3 linked regions of the Drosophila melanogaster genome follow. The protein of the gene in region 1 interacts with the protein of each later gene in a pairwise test. Each region holds a gene or a part of one and is shown on either strand. Other genes may lie near its edges.

Region 1 (4,125 bases):
CATTTCAGTACGAAACGTCAAGGGTTAATTTTCACGCAAACGATTCGTTATAAATGAACCTCAAAAATGCCGAAACCTATTGATTATACAAATCGATTAATAATGGTCCAGCACAATACGATATTATGATTTGTTGACACTTTCATAAAGCTCTTTGAATTCTGATATATGGTGTTTAGCATCCTAGAAATCCTATAAAATGTAGCTTTCTGAAACTCCATTGTAATTATTTCTTGATTAGATGTGTGGATAGGTTTACTTATCAAACACTTTCGATTTTCAGATTCACCATGAGGCGTCGCAAAGTGCTCATCTGCTGGGCTGCTCTGCAGGCGGGCAGCTCCATCCTCACCTGCCTGCTCCTCCTACTGACCACCGGCCAGAATCCGCAGCAGGTGGCAGCCGGAATAGTGCCGCCTCCGTGGAGTGATCCCGCACAGAATCCGTGCGCCAGCATGTCCGGTGGCTGGCAGCTGCTGTACTGGGCACCTCTGAAGAAGTGCTTCAAGATCTTCACCCTCGGCTATCCATGTCCGGCCACCATGGAGCTCAGTCCCACCGCAGTGAGTGCCAAGCGTAAGGATGCACCTGCAGCCGAGTGCCGCTGCCCTCCGGGAACTGCACTCAGTCCGCTTCACGATAATGTGTGCTACAAGCTATACGAACGGGGACCCTGCCAACCCGAGGAGTACTTCCAACCCGTGCCGGATCAGGTCAAGAGGTGAGTTGAGTTCGGTTCTTAGCTCAAACTATTTGAATTAAGCAACTGCCATGTTCGCATTTTCACTTCACTGAAGGTTTACAGGTTGTTCTCTAGTCGTATGAAACTTTTGATTTCGATTGCGAAACTCGGGTTTCAACATTAATCAAGAGTTAAGAGAAAGTTCTGGTGCACTTAAGCAATAACGGAAGCATTCTACTTTGATATCTCGTTTTTATGCATAACGAAAGTTCATCAAGAACCTATGTATGTACATTCACATACAGTTTTTACTTTTACGACACAACCTGTCGTGTTTAAAACATGAAATGCAGTTTTGTTTCCTAGTGCATTTGAATATTTACTTTTCATTACATTTGTTTTACATAATGCTACACAATACTAAAAAGATTAATGACTAATTATCCGAAAACTTCACTGAACATAATTTGTAAAGGACGACATCTTCCCGGTTATACTGATTCATTTGCACCATCATGGTTTATTTTGATCTTATTCCTATTCTTGCTAAATTACAATCATATAAATAATGAGCATAATGGCCACGTAGAGAAAGAACTTAGAAAGGAGTGTTTCGTTCTGCCCATCCCTTATGCCGTGATCAGCAGCAGGATTGAGTGGCTCGTCCATATCCAGATAAGATGATAGGGCACCATATGGAAAGAATAAACCAAAAAGCAAGTACGAAAATAGTCCCAACTCGAGATCATTTGCGTAATCCGACCAAATTCCAGTTGGACGCGGCGGTGTTTTATCCCGCGGATCCTCCTGCCTTTTATCATTTCGTGCGTACACCGGTATTACTTTGCTCCTATCCACGCCCGACTTGCAAACGGGACACACTGTGTGATCGGGTTTCGTCAATATCCATTGGTACAGACATGGCCAGCAAAACAAATGGCCACACATGCTGACCACGGCATTCTGGGCGGTGTCTAGACATATGTTACACTCGTAGAACGATTCATCCTTGGTGTCCATTACGAAAGTATCAGCCGACATTGTTTCCGATGTGTGTGTTTCTAGCGCAGGTAATTTTGTTTAAGTCTAATGTCTTCTCAAAATAAAATGAAGTAATCTTAACAGTTCATGTGATATCAACAATTATCTATCAGACTTTCTCACTTCAAGGCGATCATTGATATAGGATGATGTGTGCCGTATATATCAATTAAATGTTTAAAAGTTAACTAAACTATAGGCAAATCCTTTCCAGAACCGCAACCGGCAACCGTTGGGGTACGTGCAAGCGACCGCTGCATTGCCCGGAGGACATGCTCTTCTGGCCGAGGGACAACAAGTGCTATGCGAGGCATGCAAAGGGTCCATGCAGCCGGGGTAAACTCCTCGTTCGCAACGAGGAGGGACTGGCCGAGTGCCGTTGCGAGGATGTGGGCGACTTGGCCTCGTTCTACTATCCGGCAGAGGAGTCTTGCTATGAGCACTACACCAAAGGACCCTGCTCGACGCCGGGTCACATCTTCTTGCCCGGCGGTCGATGCGACTGCCAGCGGCACTTGCCGCACTATCATGCTCCGCATCAAATGTGCTATGAGCTGGGTAGGATTGGGATTACATAGCCCGTTAATTTGCAATTACCGCCTTGGAAATGTTGAAATTCTATCTCAACATAATTTTCTCCTATATCGTATTTAATGTTCTCCTATTTTTCAGACACTCCTGGCCCCTGTCCACCTGGTCACATCTTTCGCATACCCGACGAGGTCCAGGAGACAACGGGCAGCACCCTGCAGCTTTTGCCTCGTGCCCAGTGCCAGTGCAAGGAGGGCTATGTGCCCTGGAGCGATGGCATCTGCTATCGCCTGTACACAAGGGGTCCCTGTGGACCCAATGAGTTCCTGGTCAACGGAACCAGCTGTGTGCGCAACTTCTGTGGCAAGAATCGCCTGTACTTCCCAGCGGAAGATTCTTGCTACAGGATTGGATCTCAAGGCCCGTGTGCCCTACATCAGGTGGTGATCTTCGACTTCACCGCCAGGCCATCCATCGATGGCATCTCCTACAATGGAATGTGCGGTTGTTCCGGTGTCCTCACCAATCTGGATCAGCAGTGCACGGGAGATGGAGCGGATAAGGAACAGAATATATGCGAGTCCACGCCCGGAATGGTGGAGATCAATGGGCAGTGCCACAAGCTGTATAGCCGAGGACCCTGCGGCGCGGGTCAGTGGCTAGAGCCACTGAAATCGCAAACCACGAATGGCACCTCAATTTTGGTCCACGCCAGTCGGGCCAAGTGCGTCTGCCGACCGGGTTATACGCCCTCGGAGTCGGATCAACGCGGCATGAGCAACTGCAGCGCTCCAAGTGTCAGCCTGGCGAGGTATTTAACCAACGAGCGACTCAACTCGAAGTTTCTCAATGATCTGCACCTTGGTGGGACCACCTAAAATCCCCAATCTTCAAGCTATTTTCTGTCCGGTTGTGATGACTTTTATTCTTCTTTCACCGCATGCCCACCTAATTTACCCTATATTACCTCCATTACCCTTTGTTTTTGTGTTTGCATGCTCAGTGTTTATTGATCGATGCGATCATTTGTTATTCAATTAACCATTTTGTTCTCTTTTAGGTGGTTTTTAGAAATATTCGGTTAACGTGTTCGATAGGATGAGACAGTGCCATTAATGTATTACATCGACTAATGTACGAGTTGTATTTAAGGAAAATCACGATAAGGGAAATAAAAGAATTTGAAAGACTAACAATATAGAGTCTAGAAATGAAATATAACATATTTTTCATTTTAGCAGAAAAATTGAGTTGTAAATAGGTCAATTATTCTGAAACTCTTTGGTATCGGGTTCTGAAGCACAAACTAAACAATTCTCACACTTACCGCAATTGATCCTCCAGGTCCTTCACATTCTGCTCTAGGGCATTCCGTTTTTCTTTGCAATCCTTTAGCTCATACTCCAGTTTGTATACCCGCTCAGTTTTGGTATCCAATTGATGCTAGTGAAGCAAATAACAATATTGTTAATATCTCTAGAAAATATATTATTAAATGAAGTTACCAGAAGCGTATCCTTCTCGTGTTCTAACGATATATAGGTCTGCCGCAGAGCTCCTAAGTCCATGCGGAGTTGGGTAACCTCGCTGCGATTGGATTCCCGACTGGAGTCCAAGGTGCTGGCCCGAACATCCGCCGACTGTCGTTGACGCTCGGCCACCAAAAGTTTACTCTGATAATCCGCTATGATGCGCTCGTTTTGATCGTTGAGCATGCTGCCAATAAATAAATAACAAATTTATAAACGATATGAAAGCTTAGCAGCAATTCCATTGTTACTAACGTTATTTGATCATTTTCGGTCTTTAGTTGGTCAATTTCGGTTTGCATAGATGCCACACGCTGCCTCATTTGCAACAAGTCCTCCTTA
Region 2 (4,820 bases), on another chromosome or scaffold:
CTTGCCGCACTGCCCCGCCCTCCGTCCACCGTCCCCCGTCGCCCCACCAACTAAATGACACAAAAATATGGGCTTAACCGGAAACGGATGTATTATCTGCGCTAACTGCGCTGCCACACACAACAGTCAGTCAGAGACAGCCGGGGCTGGGCCCAAACTCGGGATCGGGTTTGAGCTCGAGCTCGGGTCGTGGAACTAATAGAATATTATAAATCGTGAACCGAGCACGTAGAATGAGACAACCTGTCTTCTCCACTGACCCACGGATGACGGTGGCCGCTTCCCAGCCCTGTTCCGCGCTGCCCTGCCCCGCCCTGCCTTTTCCTCCTCCAAATCTCCGGGCGGTTCTCGTTCGTTACGCTTCTGTAAGCTTTTTGGCTTGTGCTTTTTGCGGCTCCCGAACATTTTCGTGTTCGCATGCAAAATCCCAAATGAAGTTAGGGCCGGGAAAAGTCGACGGGGGAAATGCCGTTAGTTTGTCCGGGGCTGTCTGAGGTGGGGTTAGGATGGTGATGTGGATTGTAATGGCCTGGTCCACTGCATACGCTCGCATGTCGTTGTTGTCAAGCACTTGCCAACGCTTTCACTTTCCTCCCGACCTCTCGTCGTTGGCCCTTTCATCGTTGTCAGCGTTGTGTGGGTGGAAAATATAAGCCGAAAATGTTATACCATGGTACATTGACCTGCCCTGAAGGGGCCATTGTAGAATAGTAAATAGTCCATATATATGTATGTGGCCCAAGGCCGAAATCTGCAAGAGAAAGATCAATAAACAAGTCGTATGAGTTATTTTAAATTAGTTGCTCTTTTTAGCTTTAAAAATGTTTTATAAATTTGCAGAGAAAATAGAATCTAATCCTAATACTGACATCCGCTACTTGATTTTCAATTTCCGAAAGGTATTCACTTTTTACCAACTCAATAATCCAATCATGAGGAGCAGGCGAGCTAACGACTTGATTGGCAACTCAAGGGTTATACTCCTTCGACTGCAAGCGTATCTATTGCATTGAGCTGCAGCTGCCAGATAACTGACATTCTCCCCGATCGCCTGCTGCCTTGGCATTTGCATGTCTTTAGCGGGGATCAAGGATAAGCGTAGCCAGCTGATTGAGATTGAGTCATAGCCGGAACAATGCCGTCCAACCGTCAACCATCAAGCATCAACCGTCTGTGAAAGTGATTGTGATCGAGGCCGCAGATGCGGCAGTAAACACATCTCGGGATCGCCTTTCTACTCCAGTGTATCCTTGTATCCTTTGCTTTGCGTGTCACTCAAGCGATCAGCAAAACAACAACAAACAATGCAGGCAGGGGAAAGGAGTAAGCATCCTTTGTGGCTGTTTTGTTAGCTTTGATCGGAGCTACTTAGCATTTTCCTTGCAGGCTTTGTAGTCCCCTTGGAATTCCGCATGCCTCGCTGAGTTTTCCGCCCTGATCGAACGGAATAATACTGCTTAGATTTATAAAATGTTAAATATTTATGCATGCCATCGCATTCGGTAAGTCACCGTAATTATCTCTTCCGCGAATCTTAATCTTAGGATAATTGTTATATATATACGGTGTATATAAATATTTCCAGTTCTTAAATCAGATTTACAGGCTATGTATTATTTTGGCTATTAGTAATTTTTAGTAGTATTAGTATTGTTTATGTTTTTAGGGATGTCTTCGTACCCAATCAGGGTGTGCCATAAATATTTTGTCAAAATTTTAAGTGGTTGCCCTCTAAGTGCTCCCAATGTTAGGAGGCAGTTTAAGAAATGACTGGGTCATCTATCCACCAGCCCTCCAGCTTCTCAACTTTCCTTTGCCACAGCAGCAAGAGCAGGCTCCTGGAACTTTGGTTCGATACGAGCATCCTTCGATACACCAGCTTCGCTTAGCACCCCGTAGATTAAGGGCACGACGTTCGGTTGTGGAAGGCGAAGGCTCCAGAGGACTGGACAACGGAAATGGCGACTCGTCGAAAATAATATTTGTGCGGCGCTGCTACATGATGGCTGGATTGTTTTCGACTACAACTGCGATCCTTGCCATAATCCTGTCCAAGGTAATTCCTCCGGAGGCAGATCTTATAATGGCAGGATTCATAAGTGCAATGGTGTCCCTAATGTTTCTCTTTGTCTTCTGTATTTTGACCAAGTTGCGGAGTTTTTATTGGTATAGTTTCATCATGGCCGGGTTGTTTGTAAGTCTGGCAGGTTTGGGCGTTATTCTGCTTCTCCTGGAGCGGAACCTTTCCCGCGTGTGCATTGCCCTTCTGGTGGCCTCCGCCATGACTGTGATATGCTATTTCGCTGGCGCATGGATACCCAAGATCATCCTCCCCGGAGAGAGGACCATGTTCCTCCTGCTCGTCATTTTCGTGATGTCCTCAATCTTTGTGATGACCATGTATATCTTCACAGACAATTGGATCTACCAGTTGGTGTACTTCACGTTATTGGCCACTTTGCTAATACCCGCATCCGTTTACCATGCTCAGGTGGTTCATTCCAGGCGATTCCAGCTGCCCGATTACGAATTCGTTATTTGCGCCGTCAACATCTATCTGCACTTTCTGTTGTTCTTTGCGGCCTTTTACTTTGTCATCTGGGCTCCCAAATGGTGAGAGTTATAGGAGTTAATTTAACGTGTCCGTGTAAAATAAAAAGAAGGCTTTAATGAGAAAAGATACCAATTTGTAAATAAAAGATATAGAAGGTGAGCAGCTTTGCCAGGAGGTAAGTGTCAGGGTGCAGGCCAGACCTAGTCTTAACACTCGGTCCATAAGGATTTTTAACGGGATGGACAACATTTACCACCAGGACAACATCCGGCCGACGATCGAGCAGCTGGACCCAATGACCCAGTTCATCCGCAGCATCTATAACATTGGCCTGATCCTTATCGGAATTACGGTGGGCGCATGGATTCTGCTCATGCTGACCCATATTCACCTGCAGAGGTACCTTCCGTTTCCCTGCTACGTCCTGGCTCTAATAATTTTTCTGGTGATGATATGCATGCATTGTATCCCGAGAATATCCTACTACTCTCCCTGTAAGTGGTTCATGACAGGTCTGGTGGTTGTGTGTACCACCTTGTTTGGCTGCCATTTCATCCACGACTTGAGCCCGCTCATTATCAGTTTCGTGATGATCGGCGTGGCCCTGATCATTATGTTACTCAACTTCTCTGGGGCCATGTGCCCGCAGGAGTTCCTGCCCGGCGGTGTTTGCTCCACGCTGCTGATGATGGCACTGCTGTTGGTCTTGACCATTGTGGGAATCGTCCAGCTCTGCACCGGGAGTGTTGAGCTGCTCGACACCTTCGTCAGCATTCTGTTCCTGATGCTGATCATAGCGATCCCCATTCAGGCGCAGTTCAACCATGGCCGTCTGAACGTCGTGGAAGTGGTTCCCGAAGAGCACCTCATGGTCTGCACCCTGACTTTATACTTGCATTCAATGATGTTCTTCTTCTGCGTGTGCTACTTCATCCTGGTCGACGAGAGAAAGGAGGCCATCAGACAAACATCTGAAGCTCCGAAAATTTCACTCGAAAATGATTTTGATTGAGAGAAATAGCTGTCACTGTGTGATCGAAACTGATTAGCGATCTGGCAAGTTACTATGGTGTTCCAGACCAAAGGATACTGTCATCCAGTCTAATTACTTAGTGCGGTGTAGCCTAGGCGGTACAGAAAATATAAATATATTCTCATTGCAAGGCAATTAGAATAAAGCCAGAGTATTATGAAAAGTCCTAGTCTCAATATAAGAGAAAATGAATCACTTACTTTGCTTTTTTCTTCAAAATTACATTATATTGACCTAAAATAATTGATTAACACATGAATAATCGCAATCGGGGTTGGGGTCGTTATGGCCTTAGAACCGGAAGACCTGGTGGCGAGCCAGTTCCTGCGGAGGGACCGGAGGTCTTAGTCATCAACGAGCGGGAGTTGCGGGCCTTCATCTTCCGGGTGTACCTATCCTCCGTAGTGCTGTGCCTGCTGTCTTCCATTTCGTGGATCATACTGTCGGCACTCGCTGTGAGGGTCTACAAGGCAATTCCAGTGCCGCCGTTCGTTTGGCTGATATTAGCTTTCATCATTCTCTCAGTGCTCGGCTGCATCGCACAGACTCCAGCATTGACCTTGTTATGCTGGGGATTGGTGCTGGGATCCTTGTTCTTTCTCACCCTGTTCGGAGCGTATTATATGCATCTAGTGCGCGTCTGGGTCCTTTTGATTGCCATTTTGGTTGCCGGATCCCTGCTGGCCCTGCTGCATTTGTATGGGGCCAAAAGTCCGGAGGTTCTGCTACCCAACATTATCTGTACTTGCTGCATTTTTCTGCTGCTCACCGTCACCATGATCGTCCTGCTAATACTCTTCCTGATCATCAATGATATGCGGTATCTCCTGGCACTTGCCATAGTGTTCGTCATCCTGATCGCATTCATGGCTCCATTTCAGGCTCGTTTCATTTGTGGAAGGCTGCAGCAGGTGCCTTATGGGGAGACTGCGGATTGCGCCAATGGCATTTACCTACACTTTATTTTTCTACTCTCCTGCATGCTCGTTTTTGCCCTGTACTATAAGCTAGTTAATAGTTGAATAAAAAATATGTTGAGGCTGATGTGCAAATAGCCTAGAAATGTATTTGCGACTATGTTGGATAAAAACTGAATGGTTTTAAGTGCATGTTGTTGGCTTAAATTAAACCATCGAAAATCAATGAACAGGCCATTTGGTTTTTGATTGGTATACCTCAGTAATACTAGTGAACAATCTTAGCAAAATGTCGAATTACATCAATTTTTGAAAT
Region 3 (4,557 bases), on another chromosome or scaffold:
CCCGTTAGTCGTAGAGTAAAAGGGTATACTAGATTCGTTGAAAAGTATGTAACAGGCAGAATGATGCGTTTCCGACCATATGAAGTATATATATTCTTGATCAGGATCAATAGCCGAGTCGATCTAGCCATGTCCGTCTGTCCGTCTGTTGGTATGAACGTCGAGATCTCAGGATTTATAAAAACGAGAAGGTTGGGATTCAACAACAGATTCTAGAGACAAAGACGCAGTGCAAGTTTGTTGACTCATGTTGCCACTTAACTGTAACCGCACAAAACTGCCACGCCCACACTTTTTCTATCGTTTTGCAAAAAAAAAATATATATTTAAATAATAAATAAACCGTCCAAAACTGCCGGGCCCATATTTTTGAATTTTTTTTGGATATTTTTTCATAATTTAATTAGTCTTCTTAATTTCTATCGATTTGCCAAAAAACTTTTTTCCACTCCAACTTTAGCGCCTTAAATTCGGCAAAATTATTCGATATTTGTTCATAATTTTATAAGTTGCTTAAATTTCCATCGATTTGTCAAAAAACATTTTCCACGTATAATCTAACGCCCTAAAGCCGCCAAACCGGTCACGCCCACACTTTTGAACAATTTTTAATGTGTTCTCATTTTATTCCCCAATATCTATCAATATCCCAGAAAAATTATGAAATTTCGCGTTTGTATTCACACTAGCTGAGTAATGGGTATCTGATGGTCGGGGAAGTCGACTATAGCATTCTATCTTCTTTTTTGCATATTGTTCCAAAAAAGTATTAAAATATCTCGTTCATACTTTTAGCTGAGTACCGGGTATCGATATACCAAAAACATATTGGGCACACCCACTCTAACGTCACACCCACTCGGCGTCCACCATAACGCCTACAATCCACAGAAAAGCCGCAGCGGCCACAATTTTCGAAAATGTTATAAGTTTATTATTTTTTTATGTTTCTTGGTTAAAATTTGGAAGCGTTGTCATTAAGCGTTGGTGAAGTGCATCGATGGCGTAGATTGGTTCCCAACCACAACAAGAATTCCTTTTGTGTAATTGGCTGATTTGAAACCACGTCTATACGTGAATAACGCTTTTCGGAACCGCACCTCAAGACCAGGATCAGATTGGTACGCTTACCGTCTACCCGGTAGTCCTTACTGTCCTGATGCAGAGCAATAGTTTCGTAGATGGAGTAGACTTTTCCAACATTTAGCCGCACAAAGGATCCAATCACAGCCTCCGCGAAAATAGGTTTACCCAGTAAGTTCTTTATGTCGTTCCGTTTTAACACTGCTCGACTCAGCTGTTCCAGGTTGGATACGCGTTCATCGCTTTCAACGTTCGTTTGCGGATCGTTTTGGGCTGTATTCTCGCTCTCACTGTTAGGCGAGGAATCGCCGGAATAAGTCTCTTTGACCTCGATATTTACATCCTTACGCGTTTGTGCCTTGCAATCATCACTAGACTTCGTCTGCTCTGCACTGTCTTCGGAACATTTTCCCTTGCTCAATTTAATGGTGCGAATTGCCAATAATCGCTCAAAAGCATGTGCTGTTTTGCCACCAGACTCCAGTTTATTTGCGATCTTACGTCTTGTCCGTAAGCGCTCAACCATTTTTTTATACTTTTACTCTACGAATATCGGGTATAAAAAGTTTAATTGTAAATTCGATGAATTATTCAAAAATGCGAATCATAGGTAGGCCTCAGCAGGAATCATATTTATATGAACTTTTTTTTAATACTAAAACTACCGGATATTCAACTGGCAGTTTTTGTAATATTACAAATATGTTAAATTCTCGCAGCTGTTCAGTGTTCCTCATTCAATTTGCTTCGCTCGACATCGGCAAATATGAGTTTTGATATTGGAATTTTTGGTGGCGGCTGTTCAATAAGCACAAAAAACCGTAATAAGCTAGAATCCACGACAGGTGACTGAGTTAGCAGGAGAAAAAAAATATGCGCACACAAAAGCGAACCATTTTGTGTGGGTCTGGCGAGCAGTACGCGTATTCTTATTTGGCTAAATGACAAAACTTCATCAAAGTGAGCTTACGACTTCCTTGCTTTGATAAAAATTCCAATTTCTTTTTAGTGATGTTGGCTTTTGGCCGGACTTCCATTGGATATCTAATTGGAATTTAAAATGGCGGCACAATTAAATGGTACTGCTATATAAATAATTCTACAGCAATTGTTTGCAAGAAACACTAATTTAAGTAAAATGCAAATGATTTCCGGTATTAGGAGCACGGAGTGGAGCCAGAAGTGGTGCTCCGCATTCGAGGTGAGTGCGTTGGGGATGTATCTTCTGGATATTGCATGAGATTCGTATCCCCTCCACCTAAGTTTTCAATTGCGATTCAGTTTCGTTTCCATGTTGCAACTATAGCAACGACGACGACGTCATACGATTAACGTGAGCTGCATATTTTCGGCTAATTTTCTAATTAAAATGATATTTATGCATTTTTTAGCTGACAGAATTAAACATTCAGTGCCAAAGCCAATTTTTACAGGCAAAGTGAACAATGAAGCACGTACTAACCTCTCGCATAAAGATATTGACATTACATATTACAAAAGATAAGGGAGTAGGTATAATCCGTTTTAAAAGGTAGTGGTAAAGGTAAGGTAGACTTCATAAAAATCAATCAATTTTTTATCTGCTTTAGTCTTCCACGAGTTCAGCTGGTTTTCAACTTTGAAGTCCCTAAAGTTTTCATTTAACTTGCCAACGCAATACAGGAATTATTCTCCGACCCAGCAAGCATTTTAAATTGAAACAAACAAAACAATGTGTTTTGTTTTTTTTACCTTATTCATTCTAAATTTGTGTAACTTATACATATTTACAAGACCGCGCAGGCAAGTCACTTCTAACGTCTATATACAGGCAATACCCGATAGTTAACCAATATCCCTTTCTAAGGAAATGACCAGTCCCACGCCTGTTCTATTGGCCTTCGTTGTGCACATGGTGCTCCACACAACGCTCTTCATACATCTAGATCCGGGTATAATTGCAGACACCCCCGTCTTTGGTAGCCAGTTATTCTATTTATCAGTGATGGATCTGCTGTGCGACACAGAGGTAATACCCACGCACTGGAGTAACATTCCGCGGTGGGGAAAGTTTATCCTTGAGACCATTATCGCCATCCTTATTGGCGAAACTTTGATGGTGGGCGTATGGCTTTCCATGGAAACGCTTCTCGTCAACTTTATAAATGTTATAACCAATTGGTTGGGCCTGGGCAGCCGTACAAACACTAATTTCCAGGAGATCGGCACGATTTTATTGGGAGTTATCTTTTTAGTGATAGTGGGTGCCATTACAAATCGACCGGCCAAAGTTTGGAAAATGGCACAACAGTCTTGGAGAATCATCACACAACAAAGTCGTCCTTCGTCCAAACAGAAATCTTTTAAATAAGCAAAAGGACCCACATCGTTTTCGGTTCCTTCTATTAATTTGGGATACCATTTCTAGTTTATGTGCACTTTTTTATTAAAAGGGTGCTCAAAAAAAAAAAATTGGTTATCTCTAATTTCAAGTACCCATCTCTTTGTTCTTTTAACAGTGAAATAGTCAAATATAGTCTTTGATATCTATGCACCCCAATGCTTAATGAAGCTCGATATTCACAAAAGGATGCGATGCACCTTTGTAAATGTTAGCATACGACCTTTACTTAAGAAGAACAACAGGTTTTTCTAATGTCTCGATTCGAAGCCATAGGGCAATTAAATATGTCACGGGTGGGAGCGGAAACTTGTAAGACATTTAACTGTTTGGGCGCGCTTAAATGGAATCTGAGTGAAATAATTACCGTTGGAGAAAATGATTTCGAACAAATCATGTCTTACGGTTATTATACAAAAGGACATCCGTGATCCCTTAGGCAAGAAAATTCGAGAAACATAAGCTGCAGTTGCGCTAAAGGTGTGGGTGTAATTAGTAACATTTGTGCCACCAAACAATTAACATAGAAAGTGGCTCGAACTCTGTGAAGAACACATGTGCGATTGACTCTCTCTTGGGCCATTATGTAATAAAAAGCGCTACTTATGTTTACTTAATGTATTGTATATCCTACAACACGAAACTCAAAAAATTTGAGATAAAAGAGAAAAGTTGAGTTTTTCAAACTAGTATTTTAGACCCTTTACTCAGATAGTTGGTGTGTGATTAAGAAAGTTCAATAGTATTTTTTGACATATCTATAGAAATTGTTCGGTTTTGTGGGCGTGTCTCTGGAACCTGCTTGCTTATTTCAAATTTCTAGCTTTTCAAGTTCCTGAGATCGAGGTGTTCCAACAGACAGACGGACGGACTGAAGGACATGACCAGATCGACTCGGCTGGTAATCCTGACCAAGAAAATATATAGTTTCTATGGTCAATACATACTCTGCGTACTTCACGAATCTAATATACCCGTTTACTCTATAAGTAACGGGTATAAATATGTGGGTTATACCAAAGGCACTATTGTAATGTCTTTGGTTATACCAAAAAAGAACAGGTTATGGTTAGGGTTAACACTCTCAGATACCC

Evidence for each region.
Region 2: the proteins of CG32847 (region 1) and CG32987 interact in a two-hybrid assay, tested with the Drosophila melanogaster proteins (one large-scale study listed by BioGRID).
Region 3: the proteins of CG32847 (region 1) and CG42597 interact in a two-hybrid assay, tested with the Drosophila melanogaster proteins (one large-scale study listed by BioGRID).

The regions. Positions count from the first base shown.
Region 1 is NT_037436.4:15,119,220-15,123,344, reverse strand, and holds CG32847 (uncharacterized protein), read right to left. Parts: upstream 1,774-4,125; 5' UTR 1,724-1,773; coding exon 1,229-1,723; 3' UTR 1,044-1,228; downstream 1-1,043. Other genes in the region: CG16959 (uncharacterized protein), read left to right, coding at 291-721, 1,938-2,281, 2,396-3,132; Cep135 (centrosomal protein 135kDa), read right to left, coding at 3,582-3,697, 3,760-3,970, 4,039-4,125.
Region 2 is NT_033779.5:8,861,063-8,865,882, forward strand, and holds CG32987 (uncharacterized protein), read left to right. Parts: upstream 1-2,748; 5' UTR 2,749-2,792; coding exon 2,793-3,566; 3' UTR 3,567-3,785; downstream 3,786-4,820. Other genes in the region: CG32986 (uncharacterized protein), read left to right, coding at 1,745-2,617; CG32988 (uncharacterized protein), read left to right, coding at 3,842-4,609.
Region 3 is NT_033779.5:22,063,569-22,068,125, reverse strand, and holds CG42597 (uncharacterized protein), read left to right. Parts: upstream 1-2,782; 5' UTR 2,783-2,865; intron 2,866-2,929; 5' UTR 2,930-2,932; coding exon 2,933-3,433; 3' UTR 3,434-3,522; downstream 3,523-4,557.